Caenorhabditis elegans: one gene and its partner. The protein of the gene in region 2 purifies or fractionates together with the protein of the main gene of each other region. This does not show direct contact. Each region holds a gene or a part of one and is shown on either strand. Other genes may lie near its edges. The genes, in order: ZK402.5 and ife-4.

Region 1 (12,684 bases), 300 kb from region 2:
AAAACTTGAAGAAAAATAATATTTATACAGATACTTAAAAATTAATTCATAAATAATTTGTTTTAAATTTATTTAAAAACACTGAGTCACAATAATATTCAGTCAAAAAAAGCTAACTTACGATTAATAGTTCTGTCAAATTCAAAACCATCTGGGCACACATATGACAGAAAAACTACTAGATCCTCTGCAAAAACATCATTCAAATTAACTTTCTCAGCTGTCATTTCGGAGTAGAAGCCAGTGCGTAGTCTGCAAAATTTACATTTCTTTTTTTTTTCAGAAAAAAACGATGTTTTATTAAACTTACATATGAAAATACTCGGAGAGCTCTGCCAGGTAGTTGAGGTTCACGTAAATTGTGTCGGATTGAGTATTGATTTGGAATTTCCGAAGAGCAGTTTCAGTGGAGAACATGTGCATTTTTTGTTGAGTCATTTTCCTAAAAAAAATGTTTTGAATCAGTGGTGTGAGAAAATTAAAAAAAATATAGATAAAACTGAATCAAGAAAAAGTTTTTTTTTCGCCAAGAAAAAAAATACAAAAAAAGGAAAAAACACGTGGTGCCAGGCTGTCCCATCACGGTTTGATCTACGAAATGTGCGGTAATTTTTTGCGAAAATATATGTGACGTCAGCACGTTCTTAACCATGCAAAATCAGTTGAGAACTCTGTATCGGAGAAATCCCGCATTTTTTGGAGATCTACGTAGATCAAGCCAAAATGAGACAATCTGACACCACGAGAACAACGAAATAAAAAACAGTTTGAAATTGTTATTTTGATTAAATTTCCACTTTTAATTTTTTTTTTCAAATTATAGGTAAAATTTTAGTCTGAACAAAAAAAACTGTTCCGAAATTTGGACTTTAAGAAATGAAAAAAAAAATGTGTTTGCCTGATACGTTATCAGTCGGGTACGCTTAAAACAATAGCCTCAAAAAAATAGAGAATAAAGTCTCAAAAGTTTGTTTGTTTTTCCGCCTCCCCCCCCCCCTCCCCCAACTTATGATGATATTACATCAGTCTCTGAAATGTCCCACCTCCCTCCCCTATTTTCTCTTTCTGTGAACAATAGAAATCCGGAATTTCTGTCGTCAGATGATGATAGACATCTAACTTCTTACACTAAACGACTAGACACCACGGGTGTTCGTTACGGAGAGTGATGTAATTGGGGAGTCTTTTTTTTGATAGCTCATGTATGTATATATATCGGTGGTTTTTGGATATATTTTTAAAGATGAAGTCGCGCTAGTAGGAATTTTGTTTAAATACACTTGTAATAACCCAAAATGACCAAATATCATAATAAAACACTCAGTTTTGGCAAATTTCCAAAATTTTAAATAAATATTTGCTTTTGAGGAAATCCAAAGCAATCTCGCATGTTCCAACCCCTACAATGTTTTAATACAAATAATTGAATCAGAATTAAAGTTTTAAAATATAGGAAAAAAAATTTTTTTTTTTGGTCGACTTCAAAAATTATGAGTGGCAAAAACTGAGTAATTGTCACTTTTTGACAGTAAATAAAAAAATTTCAAAAAAGGCTTGAAAACTTTTATAATGATATTCGGTCATTTTGGGATCATAGAAGTGGTTCTTAACAATATCCCCACAGGCGCACTCCACCTTTAAAAAATTGTTCAAAGTAAAATTGTGGGTGTTAAAATTTCTAGGGAAAGCTTTTTTAAGGCATTTTTTTTAACTCTACACATTATAAAAATTGTTAGAAATTAGCAGAAAAACCCGAATTAGAGCCAAGAATTTACCGACATAAATTCAGAATTAAAAGCAATTGAAACAGTCAAATATCTGTGAAAAACTGTATTAAAAAACCGCGAATTCTAATTTTCTAATTAAGAAAGTGAGAAATAGAAAAACTAAAAACTAAAAAAAAATTATTTTTAATTTTTAAAATTAAAAAAAAACCAACTTTAACTATGGAACTCCGAGTTCACATTTTCATGAAAAAGTGATTATTTTGTCATTTTCAAAGTATTTAAAAAAACCTTTTTTGGCTAAATTTTTTTTTCATTTTGAAATCGCGAAATTTTTTTGAAAACATTTTTTCGTTCAATTTTTTTTTCTTTTTTTTAAATTCAAATTTTATTAAGCGTATGCGAAAAATTAAATATGTTGCATTTTAAACCTTGAAACAATTTTTCAAATTAGAAAAAAGGTTGTTGTTAAATAAAACTTAAAAATCAAAACAAAAACTTGTGATCCAAAAAAACGAAAACCAGATAAACATCAATATTTTTCCACACGTTTTGTTTTTTAAAGATCTATTATTAGTCGGTCAAAATCCACAAAACAAGGATCACCATTGGAAAATAAAATAGAAGAAAACAAAAATTGTTCATTGCTCCCTCCTAGATCAGTTATCACTGAACTCTTGCACTTGGCTGTATATTTCCGGGTGCAACGAATCACTAGTCTGGTGGTCATTGTAAAATCCCATGAAATCAGCTGCAACGGGGGTTTAGAGAAAGATTGCTATCTTTCTTATCACTTGATGAGAGAACGTTCAAAATGACGTGGAGAGTGGAGAACATGATTCTCACGAGACTTTTCCGTGAGTTTAGCAGGGGGAAATAATGATGACTGGACTAGATTTTGTGGTGTCTTACAATACTTGTTAAAAAATGATAAATAAATAAAAATTAGGTTCCAGACGTTGCGACACCGAGAAGTTGAAAAAAAACTGAATTCAGATAGCAGGAAGACTTATTTTCTTTATTTGAAACTACATGAATTTGAATTAAAAGTACATTTTATTTAAAAAAAAAAAGGAAAATTAATATTCTGCCGTTCCTGGTGCCAATCTCGCCACTTTTATGTTCTTTTTTTCGCTATGCTTTTTCCATCCAATATCTGAAATTTTTACAATTATAACATGAAGCTTGACTTTTAAAAAACTTACTTGCTCCGATAGAGTCTGGGCCATTATCCCGATAGAATTTGTATCGAAACAAGTTCACAACAAATTGGGGCATGAGGTGTGCTCATTGAAGAAGAATCGGTAGAAGTCTGAAAAGAATGATTTGAAGATAGAGTAGCGCCGGTGAGGTCCTAGTTGGCTTAAATTGATTCAAAAAATTCTAGATTTTTTTATAATTTTTTAAAGTCAAAGTTTTGGCAATTTTCAAATTGTTGAAAGCATGAGCTTTTAAGAAAATCGTGAAAAATTGTTTTTTTGGGGTTTGAGGACAAAAGCCCGGAAAGTGAAATAAGGTACTTACCTAGAGTTTGATAACTTCTCCACTCAATCAATCGCTCAGCATTTAGTATCAGCTTGCGGCTACTTTCGTTGAGCCGCTTCCTCCTGATCTTCCATGTTCTCCTGCTGAACCACTGAACTCCTTCATTTCTCTTCATTTTTTCTCAGTGCGACTCGTGTTGCTCGAAGGAACTGGCGCTGGAGTCTATCAGAGTTTTCAAAAAAGTTAGTATTTTTTGGTTGAGCCGCTTCCTCCTGATCTTCCTTGATCTCCTGCCGAATCACTCAAAAGGAACGAGACTGATTGTTGTTCTCCCGGCGAAACTGTAGTCCTTGGAACTTTTAGGTTTTCCTCCTCAATTGAGCACAGTCAAGATCCATAGATTCCTCTAGGTATTCCACATTTTCAGCTTGAGCATCGTGATGGTTGTTTGACGCCAAAGAAGTTTCCATCGCCTTTGGAGTGTTGGGACCACAAAGTGCTACAACTTTCTTTTTTTTCCTCAGCCAGACTCGTGCTGTTGGAAAGCAACGACAGTTTTCTTCCTCAATTTCTTGAGCACAGTCAAGTTCCATGCATTCCTCTAGGTTTTCCACATTGGCGCTTGAGTCCATCTAAGTTAGGCTTCTTTGGTTGATCCGCTTCCTACTGCTCTTCCTTGATCTCCTGCTTGATCACTTTGAAGGAACAAGTCGGTCTCATCCACTTCCTCCATTTTGTCTCAGCCAGACTCGTGTTGTTTGACACAAGGAAGTTTCCTGAAGAGCGAGGGGTAGCACAGGAAGAGTACCACCAGATTTGGCAGAGGCGTTGTGGTCTTGGTTGAGCATTCTGTAAACTTGAAAAAATTCATTCAATATAACAAGTAATGGTTTGATAATGAAGAAAAAACTACCATGAAACACAAAAAAAAATTCGATAAAGAAGTGGAAACTAGCTAATAAGAATAAAGAAAGAATGCAAGAAGCAGTGAGCAAATGCCTGTCGGACCCCACATCCACAAACAGAATGTAGAGCGCGTTAAAACAAAAAAGAGAAAAAAAAGCTCGAAAATAAAAGAAACTCCGGTTTTTATACTGGCTGGAAGGGAGTGAGGCCGGCGGCGACGCACACTCAAAATGAGAATACGCGCGCGCGCGGTGGGTCAAAACAAAAGAAATGGATCAAAAGCTTATAAGTCTAGACAGCGATCTCGGTGAAAAGTGAGCGACGCGGCGACTTCAGATTGGCAACGGTTTTATAGAAGAGGGTCACCACCAGTGACCCGAGTAAGATAAAAAATGGTTGTGAATGCAGAATGTTGCAGTGCAGCTGCTGTCGTCAGTGTAATGTAAACATAGTAGTAAAGCCATTTTTTCCTACGCACCCAGATGATTCCTTTTAGTTGGAAAGAAAGAGAGAAAGTTCGAATATTATAATCTAAAAAATAATAAAATTAAAATTCAGCTAATTTCACTCGGTATATTAAAAATTCATATTTACTTTTATTGTTTTTTTAACGGGCAATTCAAATATCTGTAGTGTTGAGTTTTGTATTATATTTTGGTGAAATATGTACTGCAAAATACAAGAAATTAATTAGGTTCATTCATAGAGAACACTTTAAAAATCTAGGAAACGGTAAATAAACTCCCAAGAATTACAAGTATCATTATAACAAAAATTATTCTTTCTGGCCACAGCATTTCCTCTATCGTTTCCATTTCTGCATCAATCACATCAGCCATCCCGAATGTCCTTAACAACTGAAAAAAAACAGTTAAAAATTCTAATGAAAAATTCTTTCTTAGGGTGAAAAATACGTTCTGGGTAAAAAATCATAACGTTTTTCCTATCGATTTTCCCGATTTTTTGGGAACTCGTTTTTCAGGCTCTCGCCTGTCCAATGGTGCACCTTGTCAGCTTTTATCTGAGTTTTGATAGGTGGATTTCGCATAAATTGGGCAAACATGCAAGAATTGAAAAAAAAAACCATTAAAAATGTTTTCGAATTTTTTTTTGTTGGACGAACTTTATTGATTTTTCATACAACTTTAAAAAAAAAGACCTAACATAGTCTAAGGAAACTTAGAACACACAAATCATTCGAATTTGAAATGTCAAAAATTCTTTTGAAAAATGGGGGGTGGGAGGGGGGAGGGGATGAGTTCAACCCTCCACCACGGGAAATTTTTTTGCGAATTTTTTCATCCCAAAAAAAAAAGGAAAAAAAGGTCCATTGAACTTGAGAAGGAAATCCTTGACCTACATAGCAGGGACAAGCGGTTGCTTTGATTTTTCGATTGATCGTGATGAGGAATGCCTCGAAAACTCCACGAAGCTCGGCAAATAGGATTTTCTGAAAATCGAATTTTCAAAATAATTTTTTTTCCATGAGAACTGTAAACCTTATCAACATTAGTTCCAATTGACTTTTTGATTTGTTGCTTGAGCTCCTCGAGTTCCCTACTTTTGAGAAAGCAAATGAACTGGGTCAGTTGTTTCAGGAATTCAGACATATTAATGGGTTCATCTGAAGTGGCTCCAGTATTCGCGGAAAGACTGATTTGTTGACGATCGAAGCGTGGAACACCAGTTTTTTGTTCTTCTTGCACATGATCGCTATTCGAATTATGTGGTGCAAATCCTTCGAAGATTGGTTCAGGCTTCGGCTGTCCCTTCATCGCTCCGATGTATTGCACCTCATCGTCGTCACTGTCCAATTGAAGAGATTTCACATAAATAGTTGGCTGATTGTTCTCTTCCATCATCACTTCTTTATATTCTTGCGAATGATCGATGAGCAAATTATAGGTTGAATCTCTATTGAGGAGTTCTTCAAAATCGAAATCAACTGGCTCAGGCTTCGGATATCCGTCCACAGTTTCAATAATCTCCAGATCATCGTCGTCGTCACTCGAGCTCCTGAAAATAATCAAATAAAATACTGCGTAATATGAAATTGACAGGATATACATTTCAGTTCTCGCTCTTTTCGGAGATCTAGGAAGAGAAGTCGCCGAATCTACGCCATCTTCGTCGCTCTCGGCTTGGTTCGTCGTCTGACTTGCATTCATGACCATGTGCACGTGTCGACCAGCCTTTCGGTGATATGCAGATGTTCTTTTCATTCTTGCCGAATGACTGTGGTCCGCCTCCAACTTCAGCTTTCCATCACGTGATGCATACTCGCAAATTCGTTTGCCATCATTGAGCACGACAATTCCCTCCGTTTGAACTCTGTAAATCACTATTCGTTAACTCAAAAACCTTTTTAAAATTTTTTACTGTGTCAGAAAGTCGTCCGAAACTTCTCCAACAAGCCCAAGCATCACTCGGAGACGGCTTTCAATACTGTAATTGTCCAGTTGATCCATGTTTGGCGCAAGCTTTTTATGGAATCTAAATCTAAATTTATTAAAGAGAACCAGGTATAATATTCTCACTTTCGATAATAGGCTCCATCCGAACATCTGGCATTTTCTTTTTTACCGAACTCCATGAAAACTTTTGTTGCCACCAGTGGCTCATTGGCTTCTTTCGTCTTTTCAACAAGAAACGTCATCAATCTTACGTCATCGGCGGAGAGCATGATCTTCGTTGACCTCTTTCGTGCTGCCTTAGAAGATTTACTGTGGATTCTTTCCAACGTGAGTTTTCCGTCGCGTGACTTATAATTGCAGATTCGCATTTTCTTGTCAATCTTAACAGTGCCAGTCGATTTGATCCTGCAACAAACTAAATTCATAAATCTGAAGGTAACATCTCTCCTCACAATGTCATGAACTTGTCCGACACTTTTGCCGACAAGGCAAACGTCACTTGAATGCGTGACACGACACTGTATTCGTTTTTTTCGTTTTATGTTCCGACCCCTACAATACTTTAATACGAATAATTGAAACAAAATTACAATATAAAAAGTTTAAGTTTTAAAAAAATTTTTGGTCGACTTCCAGAATTATGAGTGGCAAAAAATGAGTTGTCAATCGTCATTTTTTGACAGTAAATAAAAAATTTCAAAAAAATTTTAAAAAGTTTTGTTGTGATATTTGGTCATTTTGGCATCATATTAATAGTTTTCTAATAGTTTTAGCACTTTTCCCACTGGCGCTACTCCACAGCATTTTTGAATGCTTTTCTTAAACTCTTTGAGTATTCCTACACAGTATTTTAAACTTAAAATAATCAATCCACCTTATATCAAAGTTAATAAGCAATATTTGAAAAATTTTAATGTTTCATAATAGAATTTAAAGAGTATAGCACTATCTCAGCGGTTTTAAATAATTTTCACCAATGACAAACACCTACTTTTAAAAATTAAAAAAATTTGAGAAGAAAAGCCCGAAAATTCAAATAAAGTGATAACCAAGAGTGTTATCAGTTTTCCAATTTAATAAATTTCTCAAAATTTAGCAACAAATTGCATATTTTGAAATAAAATTCCCACTTACCTGTTGAAACAAATTCAAAAAAAAACTTACTTTTCTACCAATTAATATTACTAAAGTAAAAATAGGAATAACATTAGAAAAGGTTCATATAGAAAACTAGAAGAATAGAAGAGGGTCACCACCAGTAACCCAAGTAAAACAAAGAATGATTGGAAATGTAGAATGTTGCTGTGCAGCTGCTAACGCCAAGGTTATATGAACACAGTGAGTCATTCTTTTCTACGTACCTATCTAGACGGTGACAACATGTTTGAGGGTTTTATGGTGGGGTGACAATATGTTGTCGACTAAAGGAATCCATCCATCAATATTTACCAATATGAATAATATTTCGAATATATTGTAATTTAGGAAGTTCTCGGAATACATGTGACTTGAATAATACAACTTTGAATGGGGTTATTCAAATAGTGTCGGAAAATTAAAAAGTGTTGAAAAATTACGTCACAACTGTAGGTATTAAAGGTGGGGTACCGAAATCTAGGAAATATTTTTAAATAACTCCAAATTTTCCCCTGATTCCGAACATCTATGTGAACAAATTAAAAAAATCCCTGATTATATATTTGATCTTGAAATCGCGTTTTTCATTTGCGTACCCATGAGATTTTTCAAATGCGCGCAAATAAAACTATACAAAAATTATTTTAGAGATTGAAAAACGTTGCCCCTATTATGTTGTCCCGAGGTAGAGTTGGCCACAGGACTGGGACCAAAAAAAGTTTGGACCAAAAAACAAAAATTGAAATTTTTGAAAAACCAAAAAAAAAAAAACGAAAATAAATTACGATGCTTAAGGATTCGTATTAAAGTATTGTAGGGGTCGGAACATAAAACGAAAAAAACGAATACAGTGTCGTGTCACGCATTCAAGTGACGTTTGCCTTGTCGGCAAAAGTGTCGGACAAGTTCATGACATTGTGAGGAGAGATGTTACCTTCAGATTTATGAATTTAGTTTGTTGCAGGATCAAATCGACTGGCACTGTTAAGATTGACAAGAAAATGCGAATCTGCAATTATAAGTCACGCGACGGAAAACTCACGTTGGAAAGAATCCACAGTAAATCTTCTAAGGCAGCACGAAAGAGGTCAACGAAGATCATGCTCTCCGCCGATGACGTAAGATTGATGACGTTTCTTGTTGAAAAGACGAAAGAAGCCAATGAGCCACTGGTGGCAACAAAAGTTTTCATGGAGTTCGGTAAAAAAGAAAATGCCAGATGTTCGGATGGAGCCTATTATCGAAAGTGAGAATATTATACCTGGTTCTCTTTAATAAATTTAGATTTAGATTCCATAAAAAGCTTGCGCCAAACATGGATCAACTGGACAATTACAGTATTGAAAGCCGTGTCCGAGTGATGCTTGGGCTTGCTGGAGAAGTTTCGGACGACTTTCAGTAGTATGTGGAGCTAAATTTCCCACCCCCAGCCAGGGAGCTAAATTTCGCACCTGCCACTCAAACCGCGTTCATGCACCGATTTTTTTCAAATCTATATCGTTTTCTTCGTCAGGAGAACAGAGAATTACGCAAAATAATTCTCAATCTCGAGGCCCTGGATGAGATTGAAGGACTCATTAGAGTATGGTGAGTTTTTTTTCTTAGTCTTTTTTTACCTTACCCTACCGTTTACAGGACAGAATAAATGCTTCTGGTCTCCTTGCCATTCAAGTCACCATTCAAGTGCCACCGTGTCTGGTCTCCTCGCCATTCAAGTTATAAATTACAATTTCCATTTTTTTCTGAATAAAAGCTTTGTTTTCGTTTTATTTGTTTAATAAACAATTTGGATGGAAAATGGAATCTTTTATCATTTGTGAAAATCTTTGAAAATAAAAAAAGTTTCGACAAAAAACTGAATAATTCTTCAAACATTTAAATTTGATACATCTCCTTAACTTTATTCTTCAATCTTGAAGCTGAAAATTCCGCGCCGAATGCACTGATAACTTTTGAGAATACATATAAAATTGAAAACCACCGACATCTCACCCTTCCACCATCTCTCTCATGGGTGGCAGGCGGGAAATTTAGCTCCCTGACTAGGCTTGAAATTTAGCTCCCCGGCATCACTCCAGCCTTCCCCCTTTTCTCTCATGGGTGGGGTAGGTGCGAAATTTAGCTCCCTGGCCTTCGGCCATCACCGTAACTGAACTCACCTCTCCCCCTTCTTTCCCTGCAGTGTGGGTGGCAGGTGCGAAATTTAGCACCCTGGCTGGGGGTGGGAAATTTAGCTCCACATACTACTATGTAGCGACGAATTCCGTCGCGCCATCTCCTCAATCTCGCCACCAGTTCATCCACATCATTGAAATGACGAAGAACTCCGTCAAGTGGAATTGAAATCTTTGGTGCACAGAACAGAAACACTGCAATATGATTACTGACTTTAAGTAAAAAAATTCCACGGAAGCAGAAAACTATCTACAGAGATTGAATAGTAAGAGTGAGGAGGTTTTTGTGGGAAACCTGATCAAACTTATCGGCAAAAACAAAGAAAACGATATAGATTTGAAAAAAATCGGTGCATGAACGCGGTTTGGTGGCAGGTGCGAAATTTAGCTCCCTGGCTGGGGGTGGGAAATTTAGCTCCACATACTACCGCCGATGACGTAAGATTGATGACTTTTCTTGTTGAAAAGACGAAAGAAGCCAATGAGCCACTGGTGGCAACAAAAGTTTTCATGGAGTTCGGTAAAAAAGAAAATGCCAGATGTTCGGATGGAGCCTATTATCGAAAGTGAGAATATTATACCTGGTTCTCTTTAATAAATTTAGATTTAGATTCCATAAAAAGCTTGCGCCAAACATGGATCAACTGGACAATTACAGTATTGAAAGCCGTCTCCGAGTGATGCTTGGGCTTGCTGGAAAAGTTTCGGACGACTTTCTGACACAGTAAAAAATTTTAAAAAGGTTTTTGAGTTAACGAATAGTGATTTACAAAGTTCAAACGGATGGAATTGTCGTGCTCAATGATGGCAAACGAATTTGCGAGTATGCATAACGTGATGGAAAGCTGAAGTTGGAGGCGGACCACAGTCATTCGGCAAGAATGAAAAGAACATCTGCATATCACCGAAAGGCTGGTCGACACGTGCACATGGTCATGAATGCAAGTCAGACGACGAACCAAGCCGAGAGCGACGAAGATGGCGTAGATTCGGCGACTTCTCTTCCTAGATCTCCGAAAAGAGCGAGAACTGAAATGTATATCCTGTCAATTTCATATTACGCAGTATTTTATTTGATTATTTTCAGGAGCTCGAGTGACGACGACGATGATCTGGAGATTATTGAAACTGTGGACGGATATCCGAAGCCTGAGCCAGTTGATTTCGATTTTGAAGAACTCCTCAATAGAGATTCAACCTATAATTTGCTCATCGATCATTCGCAAGAATATAAAGAAGTGATGATGGAAGAGAACAATCAGCCAACTATTTATGTGAAATCTGTATGCAAGAGTTTGCAAGCTCCCCTTGAAAAGCGATCCCAAAGAATTTCAGGGGAACATCCCACGAAAGGTCGACAAAGGACCGAGTATTCCTCGAAGGAAACCGAAGAACTCAGTGTTCAAAAACGATAAGAAAGTTCCCATGAGGGACTTCACGACGGATGAGGAGGAGAAGACACCGCGATGTGTGTACTGCCATTATCATCATCATTCCAATCGATGCGGGCACACGAAAGGAACTTTCGAAAGAAAGAAAATCCTCGACAAAGACAACCGTTGCCACTTGTGCCTGGCAAAACGAGAAGGAAGACATTGTTGCACCTAGAAACCCTAGTAACATGTCATCTGGTTACGCCCTCTGGACACGCCCATGACACCAAGAAGAAGAAAGAAGAGAAGAGCAAGGTAGTGTGGTGGTGATGATGGTTCCTGAGTGGTGATGGTGTGAGCTCTCATTCTGTTCTATCTTTATTCTATCTTTTACATCTTAATCCTCATTATTCTTTATATTCTTTAACTTCCAATAATAAACTCATAAGTAACATAACCGCTACACCATGTTAGTAAAATATATAAAGACCTCATAAGAACCCTGTGGGTATGATAACATCAATGTACTCCAAAGCCATGTACGTACTGTAAAAGGATCAATCATCATTGTTCCATCTGTATCGAGGATCCCATTCAAAGAAGCGAAGATCAAAAGTAATGCAAGCTGTCAAGATCATCATCATCACACACTCATCAAATCTTATCATCTACTCAAGCCAAGCTGTCTACTCAAGCCAGGCAGTCTACTCAAGCTCAACAAGGAGATCAAAACAAAATCCGAGGCTACTCATCGTGCGGCGCGGGGAGTGTATGAAACCTCTTTGATGATTCATACCTCTAAGCAAAAGCCAAGGAATGCAATAATTGATTATAATTGATTTTATTGTAATGTTTTTTAATATAGGCTAAGAGCCTCAACCTTTCCCCCTTTTCTCTCCCATACCATACCGCCGCCCCGCCCCAAATTCCTCTTTCTCCCTCGTGTCTCTTCAGAGAGGAGACAGCATAAAAAACTTGTCCTGAGAGGGACAGGTCACTCGTTTACAAACCGCTGGGTCTTTGAGTCCCCAGCCAATACTTTCCCATTTTCCCATCCACAATTTCATACCATTTTTTCTGTATTCTTACTTTTCATATAATAAAGTTCATTCTTATCACAAGTGTGAGCTTTCTTTTAAAATCTCTTCAATTGGACAGTGACGACGATGAGGTGCAATACATCGGAGCGATGAAGGGACAGCCGAAGCCTGAACCAATCTTCGAAGGATTTGCACCACATAATTCGAATAGCGATCATGTGCAAGAAGAACAAAAAACTGGTGTTCCACGCTTCGATCGTCAACAAATCAGTATTCGAAAACAAATATGCGACAAATAATGAATCCGACATTCTTCAAATTTTTGTCATACTGGCGCCGGTTCGGATCCCATGGAAATGGAGAGGAAAAAAGTATCTCCTTGAAAGGAATTTGGAAGTATTCGGCGCGAGACTAGAGGATATCGATAAACA
Region 2 (12,186 bases):
AATTTGAAATTTCTTTTACAATTTCTACTTGAAAATTTAGGAGTGTTTCTATACAGCATAGCAATTCCAAAAAGACCTGAAAACGAGTAAATATTTTTTTCATAAAAAAAAACTGTATATCTGTTTCTAACAAATTTGCATTACTAAAGAATCATTGCCACTGAATTTCACAGTGGAAAAATTTTCACTTTTGAAATATTTCAAAACAGAGGTTAGACTTTAGGTGAATACAATTTTGAAATCTATTTGATTTGAAACTTAAAGCACATTTAACTTATACTATACTATCTTATAGCATATTATATTATACACTATACTGTACTATATGTACTAATTAATAAAATTTACACTGATCAATTTCATTTAATTGCAGTTTATATTTTGGTTTGAAAAAAAAAATCAAATTTAGGTACATACAAATTTGGGTACATAGGTCTCGCCTTAAAAAAACCATAATATTTTCTATTTATTTTTATTTTCAAAATAAAAGATTTATTGCATTTCTAGACAGAAAAATCACCAGCTTATAAATTTGCTCAACGGTGACCCTTGCGAGTTTTAACAATACATATCAGTTTTTTTTCAATTACAAAACTAAAGGCAAAAGCATTTTTAGAAAATTTCAGTTAGCAAGTTTAAAAAAAAAATTCAATTCATGTCGATACACCATGAAACTATGTTGCTAATTTCATGTACCCGAGCAACAATATTTGTTTTCTCCTCTTTGGATCTACTGACTCAATCCCCGCCCGACAAACCACAAAGCATCAAGTAATCAATCACTGTCTATCTCATTCCCCAACTGGTGTACCCAACGTACACAGGGGGTCTTCAACAAAGTATTACAACATATAGTGCACGGAAAGCCCTCGATTGATAAAAAGAAATGCAACACACCAACAAACGGACCTTGGGAAAGTTGAGTTGTCGGGAAGTTGAAAAAGCGATGGAAGAAAAATGAGGTGAGGAGGAGCGGCTTGTTGTGGGGCGGCATATCTGGTTTTCAGAGATTGATGACAGTTTTGGACCATATGGGTAATCACCACCAATTCGTTTTACTTGTATGATTTTGATGTTCTGAAAAGGGGGGTTTTTTTTTAAATTAATCTGTTGAAAGTTGTTTAAGATTGGGGGAACATATAAATTTGAAAGTTTATAGTTCAAATCTTGAAACAAATTTCAAAAAAAACCTATCTGGACTTGCGTTTTCTGACTGTCTGTACCTGTCATGATTAATTTTTTTTATAAATATTACTTTTTTCTTGGAGCATTGGCTCATCGACATCCTTGCAAACATTAGCGTTTTTGGGTACCGTTGTCTTCTGCAACATAATATTTTCACACAAAAATGCAGTTTAGGCAAAGAAATTGATTACTTGTTGAGATAAAAATTAAAGGGTTTGTTCACATTTTTTTTCAAAATTAATGACAATAATGTTTTATTTCTATTTTTAAGTTTCTTTTAATAATCTAAAATGTCAGCTGCCAATGCCACGTGACAACTTCTATTCACACCACATTTTTCAAATTCTGACAACTTGTATCTTACAGTCAAAGCACCTAACTTTAAATGTAAAAATTAAAATTAATACGTGAACTCACAAATGCACATGATGCCTTTTAAACCAAAAATGTTGATAAACCGACTTTCCAGTTTTGTTGCCCTTCAACTTCTGGATTCCATAGATATTTCCATGATACGTTGAATACGTTTCTGAACGGATTAATTGATTTTGAATAACTTTCATATTATTTACCTTCCAAAGCTCTCAACAGAAATATTGCTACTAGCAGAGAATGAAATTTATCCATAGGTAGTCTACATAGATTGAATAGTTGAAATGGAAAAGTATGAAAAAAGGTAGGTGGCTAATGGAACAAGTACACACATGTCCATCAAATGGGGTGACATTAGGCTTGTACAATTATACTTGTTCCTTTCCTCGGAGGGCGGCTAATGGTAGGGGGTATCCTTGACGTCTAAATGAGGATTGAGAGAGGTTACAAAGATGGATTATCGAGGTGGAATAGATTTACAAAGAAATCAAGGAGCTAAAAGTTTGAAGGGTTTTGAGAGGTTTGGAGACAGAGTTGTACATAAAAAAATGGTTGGTTCAGGCGGAATACTTCAGCTTGAGAGGTTCCACGTGATTCTTTTTTACATTTTTATTTGATTGAGAAATTGGACAGGTATAAACTAAAGTTGCTTACATCAGAATCTGAGAACTCATTGTTGAAACCCTATATGTCTGATTTTTAAGATGACTACATACTTTCAGCAGGGAAATACAAAGCTATGTATACGAGTTAAACAACATTTTCACGCGATGACTTCAATTTTAAATGTTCAAATTCTGAAAGGTCACAGTCTAAAACCTAGTCACATAAATTTTCAGAAATTTATCGCTTTTTCTAGCTAGTAGCCGCTTATGGCCTAAATGCGCACTTGCAAAAAAGGCAAAGAAATTTTTAAAAAAATTGCCACGTGGTAACCTAATTTTTAAAATGTCATTTAAAATTCTGAAAGCCCAGAGTCGAAAACCTTTATAGATAAATTTTCAGGTTTCTATCGCTAATTTAAGCTGAGATATAGGGCATTAAATTTTTGAAGGTCGAAGAGGCCATGCCACGTGCACGCGCGCGCAAAATTAAAAAAAAATTTTTTTTTTGGGAGTTAAGCTCCACTTAAGAAAATTTAGTTTGTTTAGTAATGACATCATGAAAGAAAGACAGGGTTTGATGTCAACTCCCCCTGAATACAGCCCCCGGCTAGGTTACAGACGCCCGCCACGACGCCCTGCGGTTTTTGAGTTTTAAATAAAATATATAAATCCAGAAGCTGTTGGGGGCTCGAGGGGGAAAAGATGGTCACTTTCTGGATAGTGTATCTCACTTCTTTTTAGAGATACAGAAAAATTGTCAAGTAACAAAATGTTGTACATTTTGTGAACTACATTTTAACCTAATTGCTGGAGTTGTAGTTTTGAAATTGAGGTCAGCAGGAGGCAGTTTCCGTAAGATTTAGACAAAACTATATATTTCAGTTTGTAATGTACTTACAATTCGGATAACTCAGGTGCGTCGACTTTTGGTTATGGACTTTCGAATTTTGAAACATCCGATTCAATCTGAGGTTGCCACGTGGCATTTACAGTTGACACTTCTAATTCCAATAAACTTTTATATTTCGTTAGTGAATTTGCTTGCAATTTTGAAAAAAGAGGGGTATATATTTTCGACTTTGAGCTATCTGATTTTGTAGCTGAATAGTTGAAAATTAGGTCATCACGTAGTACAGTGCTGGCCAAGAAGATATCCACTTTCAAATAAGAATAACTCCAAAACTAGAGATGCTATCAAAACACTTTCAACTAACAAAACATAGCTCATGGCTCGGTCTATATGTTTTTGTATGTCTATATTATTTAAATTTTATGGAACGAATTAAAGCGGTCGACATCTCGTGAGTCCATTTTTCATGATGATTACCAAACGACTGTATTTTAATAACTTTTTTTTTAATGTAGGGTTGTGAAAGTAACGTGATGCACCAACTCCTTTAACATTTAATGATGATTCTTTAAAATCTAATAAATTATTTTGTTTGGTTAATGCAGAATTCTTCAATTAATTTTCAATAGAATAAATTTATTTAAAAGTGTCCATCAGCTCCAAGAGCCGCCAGACTAAACCACATATTCAAAAAAAAACTTGAAATCATAAAACTAGTCATTATACAGAATATATTAAAACCAATAACGAGATTCCTCTCATTTTCTTTTTCTCCGGACCCAAAATGATTCCCAATCGAAAAAAATAATAGTAAAGCAGCATGATCATTTGCAGATATTTTTAGTAGTATGACGATATGAGCTCTGATCTCTGAGACAGTCATCGTGTCGTTTGTATTCTAGTACCGTGTTCTGAGGCAGTTGGAGCACCGATCGAAGAGTTTCTCGGATTCTGTTGGTTACTGGGGTGTCGTCTGCGTTTCTGGAAAATTGATGTAGTTGGGAATGTCATCAGGGTGTATGGCAAATTTGTTGATTCAATTTTCCACAACTGTTCTACTTTCCAAGTAAAATTGCAGAAAATAATAAGTGTAAAATTACGCAAAATTTGATCTGACAAAGTGGAGCTCTAACAAGATTTGGTGACCTCTTGAAGCAACAGGCGCGTTCATTCAAAAGATATGCTAACAAAATTTGCAATTACACTATTTTCACATCTGGCAGAAGCACTAGTAGATTTTTTTGACATTTTCAAATTCCACTAAGACTTTTTAAGATTTATGGTGTGAAATGTTTTCAGTTGTTTTTTGTCGGTCTTGCACAATTTGGCATTGTTGTTTTTTTCACGTTTTCCAGTTCCCAAATACTCCAAGTTTTAATTTTTAAATTCCAGCACTAACCTATTCCATAATGATATAATATCTTCCTGATTGCGAATTGAGCACACAGCTCCACAGAGCTCATCTCCAACCAAAAACTGCTCTCCAATGATTGCCATGAGCAGATTCTCCCAAATTCTTGTCGACAATCCTTTCTTCAGTCGGATAATCCATTTTCCACCTTTGCAGTTCGCCGGATCTTCCCACACTGGTTTGACGCCAGTTTTGAAGAAGTGAATGTCAGCTTTGTCGCACATTTCTGGAATTAAGTAAAAGTTATGGAATGGAATGGAAGGGAAATCTTTTTGAAAATAAAAAATTTCTGGAAATTCTGTGTCAATTATCAGCAAATCTAGACATTGGTTAATAATATACTTTAGGCAATTTTTTTTTTAATTTAGCTTAGCTTCAGATTTTTTTTTAACTTCAGATTTTGAAACCATTCAAGCAGTATCAAAAAATTTATTCGTCGCTTAAAAAAAAGTTTAAAAACTCGATATTCATAAAGATTTGTGAAAAACTTAAAAAGGAACAGTTGAAAGTGTTCAACTACGTTTCAAACACTTTATCAGTCTTGCACTACTAGGTCAAATTATTCTTTAGGTACTTTTAAGTTTCACTATTTATAATACCCCTGAACTCTTATAAGGTTACTGGAGTTTTTTTTATATTTTCAAATTTAATTTTTAAAGCATAGTTTTTGATTTATTTTTAAATACTTTCCACTATCAAAACCCTTACCAGTTGGCCGTTTGAAATGCACCATAATACTCCAAAATTGCTCGACAGACTTCATTATTCCAACAGGCTGCACATAACTAGCATAATCTTCCGGATCGAATTTGCCAGTTGGCCTCATGAAATACGAAAATGTGTATGAATATTGAAGTTGGTGATCGTCAGAGCCGACCGGAGCATCTTCCTGAAAAATATGGAATTTTTTAGAGGGCAAGCTCCACTTAGAATTCATCAAGGTGAGTTTGGAGATAGGATAAGTGGATTTGAAGTGTGAAGTGTACTGGAACAAAATTTTAAAAAGCTGTTGGAAACTTAAACTTCATGTTTTCACGAGCATGGAGCATCAAACATTTGATATAATTGGTTGGAAAACCGCGTGGTTTTTTGAAATGTTTTCCATTCAGAAGTTAATTTATTTTGAATTTCAAAAATTACTTGTTCACCAACTTTTACTTTTGCAAAGTGAAATCTTACCATCAAAATTGGCAAATTTTTGACCTGCTTCACAACTTCCTGAGTTGACGTTTCAGCTTCCATCTCTGAAAATTAAACTTTAACGTGTCAAACAACTGGAATTCTAAAAGCGTTTTAAAACACCTTTGCACTTGAAAAATCATATTTAAAAAGATGTAATTGAGCAATTAAATCAATAAATAATCAAATAAATATTCCGATTATCGGAGTCCACAAAATCTCGATCGCTTTGATACAAATACATAAAACGAGGAACGATGGTGGTTGTGAAAAGATGAGGGGAGGGCTGTTGAGGATAGCAGCACATACAAACGACCTCTGAGTCTCTTGAAGTGAAACAGTATTGACGGTTGGGGAGACGCAGAGGTTTTGGGGCAACGGGGCGAACGTTATTGATCTGCGCATACAACAAGAGAGAGAGAGAGAGAGAGGCACCACGGAAAAGGGGAAACGTTATTTATGCATTAGTAAATATGTTTCTTGGCCAAAGTGAAGTGAAACATATTTTCTCTTGAATTTAGAGCATAAATTTAAAGTTTGATCTTTTAAAGTGGGATAAGCTCCCGGGCTTGAAGGTGAAATATCGCCAGCCGGGAAAAATTTCCAAACCCTTCACATGCTGCATAAAAAATTTTTCAACAGAAAAAAATTGTTTTAAGTGGAGCAGGGTGTAAAGCAAGCACAAAGTCAGATTTTTAAGCACCAAGCTAAGCTTGACAACAAATATTTTCTACAGTGATGCTCAAAAATTTTCAAAAAGGCTTCATTTCTGGAGAACTTAGCGATTTGCCACAACTGAAAATTTTCCAAAAATCTACGAATTGTTGAAATGTTATTATGATACTCGGGTAAGTTAGACAATTACACGTGTGCTAGAGCTATGAAAAAAAGTTTTAACGCTTTTTACGCTAATACTGAAATTGTGATATTATTTTTTAAAATTAGTTTCAAAAGAACATCTACAAACATTCATTCTTCGCAATTAGCTGTAATAAATAAGTATACACATAACAATAAAAACTGAGTTTGCTGCGGAACGAAAGTGTTCCCATAAAATATATTCAAAAAAAAATAATTTGGTTCAAAATATACAATCACAGAATTGTCTTGATATATTCAACAGCCGACTTGAAGTTGACCCAGTAGTAAGCATCACGTCCCGACTCGATGCGGTCACCGGCAAAGGTTTCAACAAATTGCACGTTAGACAGAAGAGCACGTGGATTCGCCTGGAAATGAAAATTGAAAGCTTCAAGCTAATATCGAAATTTAAAAAAAAGAAGTTCAACTACATAAATGTTTTAACTAGATATATGTATAACTGACAGCTTTTTAGTTATTACTATAGTCTGCAGCGGTGAAGCCTAAATTTTAAATTAAATTTAAAATATTTTCCAAAACAAAAACGAAATTTCAACTGCTTCTCTCACCTTAATAATCACAAAAACTAGAACCGGTGTGAGGTCATCTGCGGATGCGACCGCGTTTTTCGAAGACAACGCCACCAGGTTGTTGATGACGTCACAGCATCGGACCACACAGTTGAGCTTGTCCTGAGCAGTCACATAAATATCCAGCATTGAGAGTTCCGCCTGAGCAGACGGCCAGGGAGCTTCACCGTGGAGGTGCTGCAATTTTTATTGTGTACAATATGTTAGTCAATTTTTTTCAATTCAATAAAAAACAAATAATAAAAAATAAACTTCTGGAATTTTCAAAAAGTCGTTGACCGGCGTGACTACGTCAGAAACTTTGGCGATGGTTCCACGGAGCAACCTGAGAAAATAACATGAATTATTGTTCAAGTTTTGGTTTTCGATTAAAAAAAGGATTAAAGGACGATCCGTTCTTCAAGTGCTATGCACTGCGGATCTGGGATTCAGGTACACTGCCTGGTGGTGATCCCTCTGAGCTGTAATTTAAGCCACGTCCTAGCCGGGGGCTGTGGCCGTTAATCCAGTCGTGGATTGCTCCACTTCCCAATAGAGGCTGGGTGAACCTAGGGGGTGAGGCCAAAATTGAACTCGTGACCTCCAGACTGCTAGCGGCCACCACTACCGACTGAGCTATCTGCCCCCCTCCCTTAATATTAAATAGCAATTTTAAGCTTAAAAGCCACAATTTTTGCACAAAATTTCTGGAGCATGGCTTCAAGAGTAAGCCAAATTTTTCATCACAGTTTCTAGCTATTACACTTGTTGAAAGCTCCCAAGTCTCAAAAAATCCTCACTTGTCTCTGTGATGATCCGCATCTCTATTCGGGTAGAATGCGTTATCATAAACCGCAAAAATCACATAACGCTCGATGGTTGTCATGGCTCGCGACATCATTGTATCCGTGGCAAACTGAAACCATTTATAAATTACTAGCTTCTTTATACTAGCTTCCTTACATTCCAATCCACGTTTTGCATCAAGCGATCCCTCAAAAATGTGAGTAGATTCTTCAAAAACTCGGCACGTTCATCCTGAGCTCGAAGGTATTTGAATTCGTCGTAAAACTTGAGCACGGCCGTCACTTCCTGAGTTTTGCCAACTGTGTGCTTGTTGTTGAAGCCCGTTTCCAGAAAAGTGCGCATGAGGAAATCAACGAGGATTTGCTCGGTGAGCCGGCGGTTTCTAAAATAATGAAAATCGATGAAAATTTACAGATAAAGGAAGGATGCTTACAACAAAACTCTTTGCTCCAACGAAGAGATATCATTCGATTTTCTCATTAGTGAAGCACGTTCCTCACGCATTCCATTTACGATTTTGTCCTGCTCAGCTTCATTCAATTTCAAATGGTCCATGAGGATTTCAACGCTGAAATTTTTAAAGGTCTCATCTACAAATCAATACTGAGGATATGGAATTTGGCTAGTATGAAAAGAGTCTAAGCTTAAGCCTTGACCTAAATCTAAGCCTATGCCAAAGCTTTCGCCTAAGGCTCAGTCTTAGCCGAAGCCTGAGCCTAATCCTAAGCCTAAGCCTAAGCTTAAGCCTGTATGAACCTTCGAAAAATGTCATCCATTATAAAAATGAAGATTGTTTCTATCGCGTATTTCACTGCTTGAAATAATGTTTTTCGAATAGTTTCATTCCCGCTCTTACCCAGCGTGCTCAAAGAGTTCGATGCATCGCTTGACTTCTCTCAACTGAGCCGCAAGCCCGTACTCTCTCCTGTGCTCAGTTTCCACGAGGACTCCATCCAAAAACCTCCCAAGCAGCACTTTCTTGTCCCACTCATTTTGCTTTGTCTCGTTGCGATACCCGATCCTTGGCAAGTAGGAAATGTTCCCGAGAACTGTGATCATTTTTCGAAGGGTGTCTTGAAAAGCCCTGAAACACCATAATCTGGATAATATAGATGAATTAAAAAACTTACCGACAACCAACCAGATTTTCAGACGAATAATACGGCTCCAGTGGCTCTTTTCTCGGAGTCGATGAGGCAGAGGCAGTGCCATCAATTAGATTCCCGAGCGCTGGTTTTTGCTCTTTAATCGATGATATCGACGCGTACTTAGCCAGAATATCGTCACGTGGACCTGTAGCAACGTCTGGTAGGTTTTGCTCACTGCTGCTAGTGGGGATGCCTGACGGAGGTGGTTTTACAAATGATCCCGAACGACGGAGGTGCTCACGGATGTCGGATAGGGTGTTGGATTGTGTGATTCCTAAAACTCTAGCTAATATGTATGTTTGAGAATTCGCGCTGGATGGAACTGAAAGCTAATTGAAAGTGGGAGGACTAAAGTTCATTTTAAAATGTTAAGAATCAGTTTTTCAACCACGTATTTCAGAGGTGCGTGGAATTTCAGCAATCACAGATTGCCGGAAAATGGTAATTTCTTCTAAATGCCGAAATTCTCCAACAGTTCAATTTCTGCGTCCTTTCACTACTCGAACTTTAACTACGCAGGTAATCCGCTCTGCCTGGTACTTCCCAAAAAAATTAGCTCAACTTAGTAAAATAGTAATCTTCTTACCCTTCTTCATCCTATCGCTCAAACTTTTCAGTTTAGCAAGTTTTCCTCGTTGCTCGCCACCAACTCCTTGATCACCAATCTGAAGTTCTTCTGTAGATGTGAGAGGCTCGGGGGACACTGATGTTGAGTCACTGAGATGTTCGCTGTTAGTTTCAGCTGAACCAGACGAAAAGTCAATAAGATTGTTTTCCACTGGAGTCTCCTTCGGTGCTGGAGTTGGCTCCAGAAGCTTCTCCAAATCAGCCAACTGTCTCCTTTCCTCGGCCTTCTTTTTTAGACGATCAGCTTCCGCAACGTCTTTGTAGTTTTTGGGGCTATACTCTAAGTAGAACAAATCAAAGTTCTCTTTTCCAAAAGCTAGTGCTTCTCCCTGTTTTGCTCCGAGCTCATTGATATCGTTGAAAGAGTCACCGGTTCGTTTGAATGAGTGTTGAACTGAAAAAAAGTGTCAGTTATGAAAAAAGTTCCCATTTGGGTGTATACCTTTTCGATGAATATTACGAAGTGTTGATATTTTTGGTGAAGCCTCTAGGTTGTCAAAGTGTGACTTTTGAGTGGTGGAGCTGATTGTGGCGGGAAGCTTGTCGCATACTGATAAAATTCTTGAGAGCTTCGCGTCAGAAGTTGATGGTGCATTACGAATAATTTTAATCTGGAATTGAAATTTAGAAATTTCGCTTTTTTTCTATATTCGAAGACCTCCAGGCTTATCCTACCACCTGGTGAAATTTTGGAGGGTATACAACACTTTAGCTGACTAAGATAGCCATACAGATTTTGGATTTGGGTCTATAGCCTGATATCTTTTGACTTAAGTCTAGTAGCTTTTTTGTCTGAAACCAACATCATCACTGATTTTCCTATCACTGTTTTTTAGCCTATTTCTAAAACTGACGTCCCTCGAGCCTAACACTTTTGGGTCTTGACAATAAGAGCGTTTGTCTAGACTTTCATAAAATTTTGATATTAGGGATGACTCACCAAAACGTTAACATCCGCCACAGTTCCAACAAAACTCGATTTCGTAGCCATATCCGATTCAGCAGTCCCGTTCGCGATAAGCGACGTGATCTCAACGTCGGGAGCAAGTTTCTCCACAAGTAAAGCATCCATCATTTCTGATATGAGATGTGTGTTCTGAAAAGCTTCTAGTTGAGAGCAGTATCAATTCCAAAGACAACTCACCCGACACTGGCTCAAAAACTCTTTGTACTCTTCCGGCGGCGATTCAAACTCCCTCAATGAAATCATTTGGATAATCATCGCGATTTGAACCAAGTTATGGTTTACAATTGTCCCAACTCTGACATCATTATCCACAACTCCAAACTTTTGCGGACTGATGATTGCCGGGCAAATGAGGTTTGAAACAATCATATCCTTGCAAGCATGACTCAGCTCAATAGCTGACACATCATCGACCACCTCGTACAGCGAGCAGAATATGTCTCGAATGATCCAATTCAAATTTGGTGGAAGCATTGGCAGAGCTTTCGAGATATCTAAATGCATTGAAAATTTTATATTTGTTCTGTTTGGCGGAAAACAACTCACTTTCCAGAAAAGTGTCAACAAAATCGACTAGCTTGGAAACAACGAGAGCTCTGTATTCGGGTAGGCGATCCTCATTCTGCTTGTTATCACGTAAGAACCGAGCCGTGGACTGAAAAATATAGACGTATGAAAAGCTCTCTTGAAAGTGAGTTTTTTTCCAGCAGCTAAACCAAAACCAGGTTTTTAAAATTGAAATTGTTTAAACAAATTGTCAAGCCTTTTCAAGCCTACAGAGCTTGAAATGAAACTTTAAGTATTTTGTGGATGACATATACTACACTAACAATTGTTTTAACAGCTAGTAACACTATTTTGGTCAGTGCAATTTTTGAACCGAATTCTGTGGTTACTGTATAAGCTTTTCCACATCCTAGTTTTGGTCAGTGCAGAATCATAAAATTTACCTGTTTTGCATCGATATCCAACCAAAAGCTGCCCAACTGAATAACATCCAAAACCCCTTTCCTCAAAGCTTTTGTTAGATATACCATTGTCGGATGTATTAGTTCTACAAAATGCTTGTAGAATCTCGTTGATATGGAAGTTTCCTTCCGCAGAATTGTCCTCATCTCACTGCCAGATCTGTATAGTTGAAGCTTCAAAAGATTACACACAACTTGTGCAATCTTGAGCTCATCCTCTGGGTACAGAGCGCACGAGTAGACGAGGTGGAAGAGTACTTGAATTGTGGAGTCGTTTGATGTAATCTGGAAATTATAGGTAATGTGTTGAAACAATGGAAAAACTCACATCATTTCTGTCAATGCTATTCAATAGTTCGGCGACCGACTGGGGCTCATTGTACAATATTGTCAGCAATTGGTCAAGAGTGGAAAAGTGATGCCCGACGTGCCTGAATTTTTTAATTTGCATTTTTCCTGTATTGTTATGTTGGCTCGTATGGCATTTTCGGAATAGTGGTCTTTTTAAATTTTCCAGTCATATTTTATGTGAGTTTACGGGCAATATGTTAAAGTGATCATTCTGGTTTTCATGGTTTTAGGCATGAAAATTATTTTGCTCATTTAAGTTTCAGTTATCGAAAATTGTATTAATTAA

Evidence for each region.
Region 1: the proteins of ife-4 (region 2) and ZK402.5 fractionate together in Caenorhabditis elegans (co-fractionation; one large-scale study listed by BioGRID). This does not show direct contact.

The regions. Positions count from the first base shown.
Region 1 is NC_003284.9:1,393,550-1,406,233, forward strand, and holds ZK402.5 (SPK domain-containing protein), read right to left. Parts: upstream 7,811-12,684; 5' UTR 7,694-7,810; intron 7,082-7,693; 5' UTR 6,990-7,081; coding exon 6,982-6,989; intron 6,935-6,981; coding exon 6,653-6,934; intron 6,609-6,652; coding exon 6,495-6,608; intron 6,447-6,494; coding exon 6,183-6,446; intron 6,132-6,182; coding exon 5,615-6,131; intron 5,566-5,614; coding exon 5,275-5,565; downstream 1-5,274. Other genes in the region: F56C3.9 (BTB domain-containing protein), read right to left, coding at 122-252, 311-438; H39E20.1 (Transposase), read right to left, coding at 2,804-2,880, 2,930-3,002; ZK402.2 (SPK domain-containing protein), read left to right, coding at 10,195-10,406, 10,451-10,568; ZK402.1 (Protein FAR1-RELATED SEQUENCE), read left to right, coding at 10,722-10,876, 10,928-11,123, 11,176-11,448.
Region 2 is NC_003284.9:1,097,693-1,109,878, reverse strand, and holds ife-4 (Eukaryotic translation initiation factor 4E-4), read right to left. Parts: upstream 5,668-12,186; 5' UTR 5,666-5,667; coding exon 5,603-5,665; intron 5,313-5,602; coding exon 5,132-5,312; intron 4,650-5,131; coding exon 4,412-4,649; intron 3,994-4,411; coding exon 3,837-3,993; 3' UTR 3,633-3,836; downstream 1-3,632. Other genes in the region: C05D9.4 (uncharacterized protein), read right to left, coding at 910-1,077, 1,256-1,322, 1,603-1,714, 1,758-1,812; rme-6 (Receptor-mediated endocytosis protein 6), read right to left, coding at 6,697-6,831, 7,033-7,230, 7,306-7,378, 7,833-7,948, 7,996-8,221, 8,273-8,407, 8,696-8,923, 8,970-9,261 and 7 more. UniProt on the Caenorhabditis elegans protein: Recognizes and binds the 7-methylguanosine-containing mRNA cap during an early step in the initiation of protein synthesis and facilitates ribosome binding by inducing the unwinding of the mRNAs secondary structures.